2 linked regions of the Nothobranchius furzeri genome follow. The protein of the gene in region 2 purifies or fractionates together with the protein of the main gene of each other region. This does not show direct contact. Links are inferred from orthologs where the notes say so. Each region holds a gene or a part of one and is shown on either strand. Other genes may lie near its edges.

Evidence for each region. Proteins that work in one complex are often made in the same cells at the same time.
Region 1: the proteins of gnl2 (region 2) and srpk2 purify together in Homo sapiens (affinity purification with mass spectrometry; 3 studies listed by BioGRID and IntAct, with this or other methods). This does not show direct contact. The link is inferred for Nothobranchius furzeri from reciprocal best matches to the Homo sapiens genes GNL2 and SRPK2.

Annotation. Positions count from the first base shown.
Region 1 is NC_091744.1:58,372,304-58,377,990, reverse strand, and holds the start of srpk2 (SRSF protein kinase 2), read left to right. Parts: upstream 1-2,216; 5' UTR 2,217-2,339; coding exon 2,340-2,355; intron 2,356-2,566; coding exon 2,567-2,633; intron 2,634-5,687. UniProt on the Homo sapiens protein: Serine/arginine-rich protein-specific kinase which specifically phosphorylates its substrates at serine residues located in regions rich in arginine/serine dipeptides, known as RS domains and is involved in the phosphorylation of SR splicing factors and the regulation of splicing.
Region 2 is NC_091745.1:70,697,448-70,702,693, reverse strand, and holds part of gnl2 (nucleolar GTP-binding protein 2), read right to left. Parts: intron 2,206-5,246; coding exon 2,047-2,205; intron 1,893-2,046; coding exon 1,785-1,892; intron 1,692-1,784; coding exon 1,231-1,691; intron 1-1,230. UniProt on the Homo sapiens protein: GTPase that associates with pre-60S ribosomal subunits in the nucleolus and is required for their nuclear export and maturation.

The DNA.
Region 1 (5,687 bases), on a different chromosome or scaffold from region 2:
AAGCCACTATTAGTGTGGGACAACTTATTTTTTCATTGACCATATCGTCTAATCTCACAACTGAAACAAGCATCCTTAATAATCTGTGCACATGCTTGCCGATGCTGTAGTAAAACAACAGGTATAATAATTTATTATTAATAAAACCTTGTTGCAGCACTAAAGCAGAAAAATGAGATTTTGCAATAAATATGCAAAATATTTACATATTAATTGTTTTAAAGCCCTTTTATTGGCAGAATCAGATATTAATTTTAGTTCTTACAAAAAATGGGTCCCAACATGGTTTGTGTGGCGTTGCCATAGTGTGACGTCATAGGCACAGATCCCCTGTCCTCTTGTTTGGAAATGGAAATATGGTCACCCTACATTAAACAAACTGTCCACCCGGGCTTTTACACTGCACAGAGACGCTTCGCTGCCTATGAATCTGAACGTCAGTTGAGAGTCAGTCTCATGCAGACTGACCAATGAAGAGAGGGCCTCAAGTTAAGACCCTCTCCTCATTGGTCAGTCCACACGGGGTGGGCCAAAGGTTACCCTGAGCGGGTTACGTGATGTCAGGCATTCAAGTATTGAGTATATTTACTGCATATTACAGTAAAATATTCTGTATGTGACCACATTATGGTGATCCTTGGGTCGTGATGATGGGGCCCTTGAATATTGTTGCCCAGGACACAACAAAGTGTTAATCTGGCCCTGCTGTTGGGAAAGAGAGACAACAATTTGCCTGAAGACGGATGTTTAAGATGTCCCTCCCCAGAGTGCATAGCCTCACCCAAGATGCCGATGAAGACATTTACCGCTTTCATATTAAATAAGGTGAAGGGGGATCAGCTTTAGCGTTTCATCCTTTGACAAAATTCCTAAAAAAAGGTTGGATCTTATGAAATTTTATGAAAACTGCTATGTCTCAGTGGTCTCCATTAGTGACATCATTGAGAAATGGTTTTGAGTATTAAAATCAATTAACCTAGGAGCTATTGAAAGAAATCACTTAATTTTTGATTAAAAAAACTAATAAAAATGATCAGATCTTGTGAAATGATAAAAACTGCTGTGTCTCAGTGGTCTCCATTAGTGACATCATTGAGAAATGGTTTTGGGTCCGTCCGTGTCTGGTCGGAATTACAAAGCATTCAAAAACAATAGCAATAAAGTTTTAAGCGTGACATTAAAAGCAGACACTTTGATGCTCCACCTGAGAGTAAATCTGTAAGGCCTGTCACCAGCATTCAAACATCAATTCTGTTTGCTTCACAGCCAGACAGGACACGGTAAAAAAAAAAAAAAAAAAAAAAAAAAAAAGGTTTTGGGTTTATTTACTGATTGAAAAAAATCCCTTAATTTTAGATTAATGTCCTAATAAAAAAGATCAGATTGCATGAAAGTTGTTATAAACTGCTGTGTCGCATTGGTCTGGCTTAGTAACACAATTAAGAAATGGTTTTGTGTATTTTGACTGATTTAGCTAGAATCAATTGAAAAAAATAATCCCCTTAATTTTGGAATAATATAATAAAACGTTCAGATTGTATGAAATGTGTTATAAACTGTGGTGTCTCATTAGTGTGGCTTAGTAACACAATTGAGAAATGGTTTTGTGGATTTAGACTGATTTAACTATGATCTATTGAAAAAAGTCCCTTAATTTTGGAATAAAATCCTAATAAAAAAGATCAGATTGTGTGAAATGTGTTAAAACTGTTTTGTCTTGTAAATGTAGCTTAGTAACACAAGTCATAAGTAATTTTGAGTCATTTAGGAAATTATTCTGGAAGTTTTTGATATTTTTTGTACTCGTTTACAAAGGACTACAAATTTGTTGATAGTCCCTAAGCGAACCACCGTTCACTATAGCGAGTCCTCGGAACTCAGCTAACCGCTGTCTGTGCCGCAGTGCACGGCATGAAGACTTATCGCTGACCGTGTAAACCAATGTCTGTCGAACATCCAACGTCCAACTTCAAGCTAACTTCACCGCGATCGTTGCACATGTGTACAAACGAAATTGACTTTGCGCTCACTAATGCAGGTTCACGTAAAAGGTAGAAAAATTAAATAACAATGAGGCTAAAACACACGCGCGCGCACACGCACGCAGGCGCGCACACACTCGCCCGTTCTACGGTGCAAAAACATAAAAGTATAATACGCGTGCGTGTGTGTGACATGGTTTTGGTCGTCTGTATCATCTCCGGTTCATGCGTCTAGGTGCGCTTTAGCCGACAGAGGGTGCGCGTGTCCCACGACCGTGTTGAGGTGGGAGAGGATCCGATCCGGCTGCTGCCGCCGAGCTCTCCGCTCTTGCTGCTGCTGAGAGGTACCGGAGAAACATGAGCTCCAGGAAAGGTGCGTATCTACACATCACACTTAACCCTACTTAATTGTAAGGTGGAGGCTGGCGGGTTTACGTCTGTCGAGCATCTGGCAGACGACGCTGCTTGACCCTGTTTGTTCCAGCCAGCTTTAAATCTGATGTGGTGATGTGTGTCTGATTTCTCTCCCCGACCCCCTAAACCCTTTCTCCGGACCTCTACTGCAAATGAACTTGGATCATCAGTGATGGCCATTCAGGCCCGGAAGAGGAGGCCAAAGGGGAAGAAGGACAGAGCGGGTCACCATCGGAGGTAAGTGGGGCGGCGGCGGCCGGGATATTGAACCGCTTTTAGTGATATAGTTTGTTGACAACGGCTTTCCCTGTCTGTGTGGCGCCGGTGCCGTCTCACAACAGATGAATGGTTTGGTATGGAGCGTGCACTCTCACCGAAACCGGCTCCTGCTGCCCTGTGGATTTCACCAAGTTATAGTTTGGTCTTCTGGGATCCTCACTTGGTTTATGGTTGCTCATGGCTTCTCATTGATTTTTGGGTTGGGACGTGTTAGAGGTCGTGATGTGACAACTCATTTCCGTGGTCCATTTAGTGAAAAGTCCCCCAAACGTCTGTCAGTGATTCTCTGGTTATGTAACTTTCGTCCAGGCGGTCAGAGCATGGTCTCCCCGGCTCACCTGGGGTATTTCAGCGTGACTTCCCCGGCGTGAGCGGCTTCATGGGACGTGAATGTGTGCAGTAGTGCAGCACCGTATATGCAGACTGGGGGCTTTCTTCATGGCACGATCCTATTGGTGGAACGTCACTGGCTGCACAATGAAAGCATCGATTAGGTGATGCCAACCGACTAGACACCCCACACAGAGCCACAGGAATTTACTGGAAAGCACAGTCGAACATGCAAGAGGTGTGCAAAAGAACAATTATAAAACATCTAAACATCACAAGATACCGTTTGGGGTCATTTGGTTTCCTTATATGCATGCTTATGACGTGAAGAAATATACTTCACACTAAATGAGATCACATCATAAAAATATATATTGTGTAGATTTAGAATTTTTTTTGCAGCAATACAAATTATTGTAAAAGATTAACAAGACGCAGCTAATAGCTCGTGTCTTTCATGCACAATAACACACGTGCACTGTGCACCAAAAAGACTAATTGGATTAAAAGGAAAACAGCGAAATCATGAGTCTGAAATATTTGGTCAGTTTAACCTGAACCCTCCAGCATACTTGCCTTTTTGTTAGGGATGCACCGATACCGATACCAGTATCGGTAAAAGTTAACCGATACCAGGAACCGATACTAATGCACATGGACGTCACTAGGATTGAGATATAGGGGGGGCTTAGCCCCAGGAGCTTGACCTTGAACATTTTTTTCACACCCTGCAAAACTTTGTCAATTAATTCATTATCTGAAGAACATTTAACAGAACCTATTATTTTATCACTTTCTTTTCCTTTCCTACCTTTGTGCATTTTCTCTCTTCTTTTTATAAAAAAATAACAACACTTAATCAGTTCATTAGTGGGGTCTATGTTGAAGAAAGATTTTTTATAAGTCCATTAAAAATTAGATATGTTATATTTCCAAATAAAGCTATTCATTTCAGTCTACGGCACTTAACAGGGGGAAATGTTGCAGTCATTTGTTTAATTTGTTTAATTACAACTTGCTTGATTATAAATGTTACTGAAATATGACAAAGAACAAATGAATAATTGTCAAACTTTTATTCTGCCAAATGAGTGTGCAGTTGACAGTTTTAATATATGAATAACACTGATATGACATGGAATAAAGGAGTATGTAATTAACAATGACAAGACAAAATAACAGTATATATAAAAATTAGGGCTGGGACTTGATTTAAATTTTTGATCTAATTAATTAGAGGCTTTGTAATTAATTAATTAATCTAAATTAATCGCATTTTAATTGTTCAGGAAAATGTGCTCTCAAAGCAAAACTTAATTAAAATTATGAGACAGAGAATTAAACATTAGACATAGTTATTACTGTAAAACTAAAGCTTTTAATAAAAAATGCATTTTAATTAATCAAATGTCACTGTGTGATATGAAACAAGACCCAAATCAACTAAAATTTATAATTACAAAGAGAAAATGCCTGCAAAGGGTGCCTTTAAATAGTCTCTCTGTCTAGTTGAATGACTGAAATAAATTTGACTTTGCGCAAGATTCAAATTTTTCCAGTTTTACTTGTATGTATAATTGGGAGTTTTTATTAGCATTTCTACTCAAAATGTAGTAAAAACACGTAAATAATAATCCTTCAAAATGACAGTGGAACAGGCAGAAATATGATCTAGGACTTAAATGTACTAACTTTTAACACCAGAGCAGGCATGGCATATTCTGAGAATGATCAGGAACACTAACTGGTTCCAGTTGGATGACTGGAGGATGATCGGAAGAAAAAAGATCATGGCGAGGAAATAATGATCTGACGAACAGGTGAGCGGACCTACATGGGAAGTCCTGATGTCACGTTAAGAAGGGGATGCTGCAGACCCGCAGATTCACGCCTGCTGCAGCGAATCTGGTGTGATCTCCAGCCTGATCACAACTTCCTTGTTCCTCGCTGCCCCTGATGCACTTGAGCATCCGCCCCTTAGCTGATGACAGCTTCAACACACCTCGCTGCTTAATGATAGTAATGCATGTGATGTTTAGACAGAGACTCGTCTCAGAAACATATAATTCCCCGACAGAATTGTTTAGAAAATCATCAGAAAAGTTTCAGAGTGTTTCTGTTTTAACTTAAACTTCTGTTTTCAACTTTAACTTTCACGTTGTCTGTGATTGTTTACAGAGTAGTGAGAACACGGAGCGTTCTCCCAGCGGCAGCCAGGTGCCTCTCGTTTGTCTTACTATCATAAACTACTGTTAGGGCACAGAATTAGTCTGTCTGGTGCTTTCAGCGCTGCACAGATGTTACGTAAATGTTAAAAATATAGCTTACCGCAACTTTTGTAAAGTTTCCGGTGCCACCGGGCAGCTGCAGCAGAGACGATCTCTGAAAAATGTCCGCGACACGGACTCCGTTGTTGTCTGGAAGTTTGTTTTTTTCAAGTTAAGAAAAGAGGCGGACGTGTTTCCTAAATCCTGCATCAGTCCAAGCAAGGCTACTTCTTTCCATTTTTATTCCGTTAGTAGCCATTAGCACTGTGCATTGTTGTGTGCGTCAGTGATATTCTGTCTACGAGGAAGTCGTGCAATGACAAAGGTTCTGCCGTGCTTGAAATGCAAGCTGCGATTAAATGCGTGAAATTTTTTTAACGTGTCCGCGTTAAAGTCCCAGCCCTAAAAAAACTCA
Region 2 (5,246 bases):
AACATAAGACCCCCTCCCCCCTTAAAGAAAGAAAAAAACTCTGGATCTACACGATTCACGTCAACGCTACATTTGGCTTCTAAAACGGCGATTTTTGCTGAAAAGCGACAAGTTTGCAGGTATGGTAATTGGAGCGTTTTACCCACAAGCGCAGTGACACGTCCCTACCCACAGGTGGCATTCACAGGGTATCTGCAGGTTTAGGGGAGCCAAATTTAAGACATTTTAAGACCCTTTTTAAGGCCACTTTGACCAAATTTAAGCTATTTTTAAAATTAAATTTAAGCTATAATTTCCAGCTATTGCCTGGAACCGGTGCTAACCACGTCGCGAACGTGGGATCAACCATCCAGTTACCATTAACCTTCCCCATGGCTCAAGCTCCCACTAGCTTAACCAGCTAATGTGCTCATCTAAACATAGCCCCCTTTCACAACCAGCTGAATGTGTACGGTTCCGCTTACACCAACATCACACACAAAAAATCCTGCACTAACTAGAAATTCATGAAAATTTTATAGAAATAAAAGAATCTTGTTTATTGGGTCTTTGTTAATTTAAGACCTTTGGAAACTGTATTTAAGGATTATTTGTCATTTTTAAGGATTTTTAAGGCCTTAAATTTGGAAAAGCTAATTTAAGACTTTTAAGGACCCGCGGATACCCTGGTTTCAAGACAGTCTCGCAAGATCACAAAATCACCAAAGAATTGAAAAAACTTTGCGTGATTTCTGTAGCTTACGAGATGACACGCAGATTTAAACGTATCCAAAAAGGTCCGTGGGACTTTGGCTACAACGGTCTCACGGGTGATGACAGACGAATTTTTTTAACAAGTTAAGCAGCTGGAAATCTTTTATTTTTCCAAGTTTCTGGATGTTTGACACTGCTCTTGTGTTTGAATGGACACATTAGCAAGTAAAATGTAGACTCCAAAACGCGCCGCTTCACAGCTGGTAGAAAAAACACCCATCCACCTTTGAAGCGGCTGACTCCTGCAGACTACGCTTCACCGACGCGTCCAGTGGAAAGGCTCGGTTAAGCAAATTTAAAAGCTGTCGTCTGCTGGACAAGACATGCGTGTTAGAAACTGACCTCTGACGAGCTAAAACGCCACTCCTGAATCGGTGTGCACAGATCACCTCCTTTGCACCGCCTGCCATCTTACTGCCAGATCAACTAAAGAGGGGTGGTGTGCAGACTGACACGTAGGATAACATAAGAACTCACCGAATTGCAGAGAAGCGCTTGGATTTAGCTTGGTCCAGGAACTGCTTATACTTGGCGATTTTCTCATCAAGCTCCCGTATGACCTCTCGTGAACTCTTTTTGACTTGTGCTCTATCAGTCTGAGAAGTCACAGCCTCAGAGACCCCCTCCTCTTCATCAGCTGGCTTTGCGATGGCTTCATCTTCCTCTCCATCACCTTCGTCAGCATCAGAGCCAGAGAAGTCGGACACGTCCAGGTCAGGCATGTCCACTGGAATCAGGTCTTCCTCGCTGAACTCCGGAGCTACGTTGATCTTGCCAAAGTTTTGTCGGACGTTAGCGAGGATCTTCTGGACCTGCTCTTTCTGTCTCTGCTGCTGTTCTGACTGTTCCTCAGAGACGGTGTCCAGATTTTCTGGCTGCTCTTCCTGCACCTTCTCCACTACAGCAGTAGGTGCTTCAACTGGCAACGGTTTTCCATCCTAAAGAAGTCCGATACAAAAGAATCAAATAAAAGCAACAGGCTGCTGATGAGACCAAATACACATTAAAGTTTTAACTCCGTTAACTCTTACTTCTTCTTCTCCCTCAGGACCCGGCGGCTTCACAAAAAAGGGAATTCGTCCCCTCTGCCAGTCATTTAACACCATTTTGGAGACCGTGCTGAGATCAGGCTCACCCCTCTGCATGACACAAACAAAACAATGTTTCTGTTAATAAATGCATGCTGCACACATAAATAACAAACACACACACTGCATTAAAACAGATTCAGCACTAAACCAAACTGAAATCTTGCACAACGAGACACAGAAAATGAAAAAACCAATGGGCGACCTTGAGAAGTTTGCCCGTGCGAAACGCCAGCTTCTCCAGGAAGTCTTGAGCAGATGTCCATGCAGGGACACGGTAGGTCTTCTGAATGTACTCGGGCTTGGCTCGCTCCAGCACCGCCCCTATATGGTCCTCTGGGTTCTTGATCTTCTCCACCTGAACCTTTGTGACAAAGAGGAAAAAAAAATTAAATCTACAATAACTTCGTTGTGAGTTACAGCGACTACAGTGATCCTCTGAATTAGGGGTCAGATTTATCGGTCTGGCCAACCCGAAATGGTGCAAGTACTCAAAAAGGCCCGCTACTCTTGTAGAGCTTGTAGTTAAAGTTGAAGTTGAAGTCCAGTCAGTTGTCACACACACAGATGTGTGTGCGAAATTTGTTCTTCACATTTGACCCCCCCGGGGGGAGCGGTGAGCTGCAGACACAGCTGCACTTGGGAACCATTTGGTGGTTTAACCCCCCAATCCAACCCTTAATGCTGAGTGTCCTGCAGGGAGGCATTGGGTCCCATTTTTTCTAAGTCTTTAGTATGACCCGACCAGGAATCGAACCCTGATCTCCCAGTCTCAGGGCGGACACTCTACCACTAGGCCGCTGAGCTGGGTAACTCATGCTGATTGGTTGCAACTCAGTAGGAAATGGCCTCAGCAGATGTCGCCAAACAATTTTTGCAAATTCGGAACTGCTGGTGAAGAAGAATGTAACGTAAATAAACAATATTCACTCTGCTTTTAAATCGCCGTGGCCTCAGTGGCCTAGTGGTAGAGTGTCTGCCCTGAGATCGGGAGATCAGGGGTTCGATTCCTGGTCGGGTCATACCAAAGACTTTGAAAAAAATGGGACCCAATGCCTCCCTGCTTGACACGCAGCATTAAGGGGTTGGATTGGGGGGTTAAACCACCAAATAGTTCCCGAGCGCGGCTTGTCTGCAGCTCACCGCTCCCCCAGGGGATGGGTCAAATGCGGAGAATAAATTTCACCACACACCTGTGTGTGTGACGACTAAATGGGACTTAAAAAAAAAAAACAGCAGAAACCCCCCAGAAAAATTTAATTAACAACAGAAAACGGCGCTTCTTCTGGTCACTGAACGCTTTTAACGTCACGCAGCCACTCTTCCATCCTCCGACCGGATGAAATTATGACGCACGTTGACAGAAAAAGACTGCTGAATTTGCGGTGGCCTCTAGCAGGAATGAATGTCTTGTAAGAGCTCAGGTGCGACAGTTTCTGCGTGGAGAATTCAGCCAGGGGAGAAAGTAACGTCAGACGGCAGGATCTGAGTCTTATTTCCTGATATTTGGACATCTCGCCTCGGACTGTATAACAGCAACGCAACTCCACCACTGATTTGCAACGTGGATGCTTATATGCACAAATATCACAAGCCTGGTGGAATACTGCTGTGTGGTGGCATTGCTAATGCTAACGGTTAGCTTCTACTAGTCGAGGCATTCTCTGCTGTTTCCTGGATGCTAAACCAACAATGGCCTTCCCCATCGTGAGTCAAGATGGGTGAGTCCAAACTCAGAGAGACCGATCATTTTCAAAAATAATAAATAAACAATGGTTTCTCGGCGAAGGCTCTTTAATGGTATTAATGTTCGTGGATGTCTTGTGGTGCTGGGGCCGGCGAGATTTCTGTGGCTTACTCGGAGACGACAGCTGAAAGTACCGAGCCATCACATCTCTTGGCCACTTTTCTCCCTCCCAGAAATGTCCTAGAACTCCTTCAGTGGGAACGGCTTGAGTTGAACAAAAGACCTGGCAGTTCTGGCTTGCTTTTAGCACCCCCTAGTGTCCGTTTAGTAAAACCAGAAGCAAAAGTTATCTCCTAGCTGGGGCTGGGTGATATTAGCCCAGCCTGCCAGGCTTGTCCCCTGTCTGTTCTACACAGAGGATGAGTCTGGATACTGAGCGCCCAGTGAGGGGCGGGACTAGCCAGCTCAAAAATAACCAATCAGTAAAAAGGCGGAAATGACAACTGCATCGCGCTATACTGTAGTTTTTTAGCTGTAGTCAAAGATGGAGTCTGGTGATGGCACAAACAAATTTCTTTACAAGAAAGGCTTTTAGCGCTTCATCTTATGGTTTTAAAGACACGTCCAAGTGGGATCCTCACTGTAACGTACCAAAAGGGCCAATTTTCACCTAGACATTGATCAACATAATAACCTTTCATCTACAGAAATAAATCCAATTTCTATTTGGCCTTCCAGAACCAGAAGGTTCTGCTTAGTGTGTGTTGACATTCCATCAAGACAAAACATTCAAACATTCTCACCCAAGGTTCTTACGCTCTCTGTGTGAACGCCAGACATCAACATTCTTCACTCTGAATGAGTGAAGACTCCATGATTTTACAGTTATAAGTTAAATAATCATATGTGATGAATGAACAAGAAGGCGTGGCTTTCTCAGGGATGTCTTGGTAAAGCCTTCCAGTCATGGCACATTCTGATTTGCCAGAATACGCCAGAAATTATAAATAATGAGTTTATTAAAACGAGAATTACTTCCCGAGTAATTCAGATTCCAGCTGACCCCCCGATTCGGCCAAATCGGGAAAGAAGCCTCTTCTGAAACAAATGTGTTTGGCCTTAAGTCAAAACCTTTCTGCAACGCTGCAAGTGATTAAAGACACAACAGCTCTTTTCAGAGCTACTTGAACTCAGACATCCACCTTGGACACCTAATCTGCAGACCCCGGGTTGCATCTCATGGCTGGGGAAGCTGAGCTCAGAGGAAGCTACTAATCTCGGAGTCTTTTGGTTTCGACGTCCGGTGACCTCACCACTCAACCACACCCCTCTGGACCACCAGGAGCAACTCATACAAGGGTATCGTAAGCCTGCATACTGGTGTCCGATGAGGTTTATAAATAAACAATTCTCTAGTTTATAACAAACAACAAATTCTTTTACACCGAGATTTAACAATTTCTCTCAGATACAAAGAACGGTTGCTACAACATCTAGCTTCCATCACAACACCTCAAATCCACCACACCACATCTCCTTATTCATATCTTGTCATCTATCATTAGTTTAGGAAAAAGAATGAAACTCATTTTATGAACTATATACTGACTCTGTCTGAATTAATACGAAGTGTGTTTATGGTCCCTGAACAAGCAAAGAACCCTAGAATCTTCCGATTAAACATTCAAAGATCAATCAGATAGATATTTCATATTTGT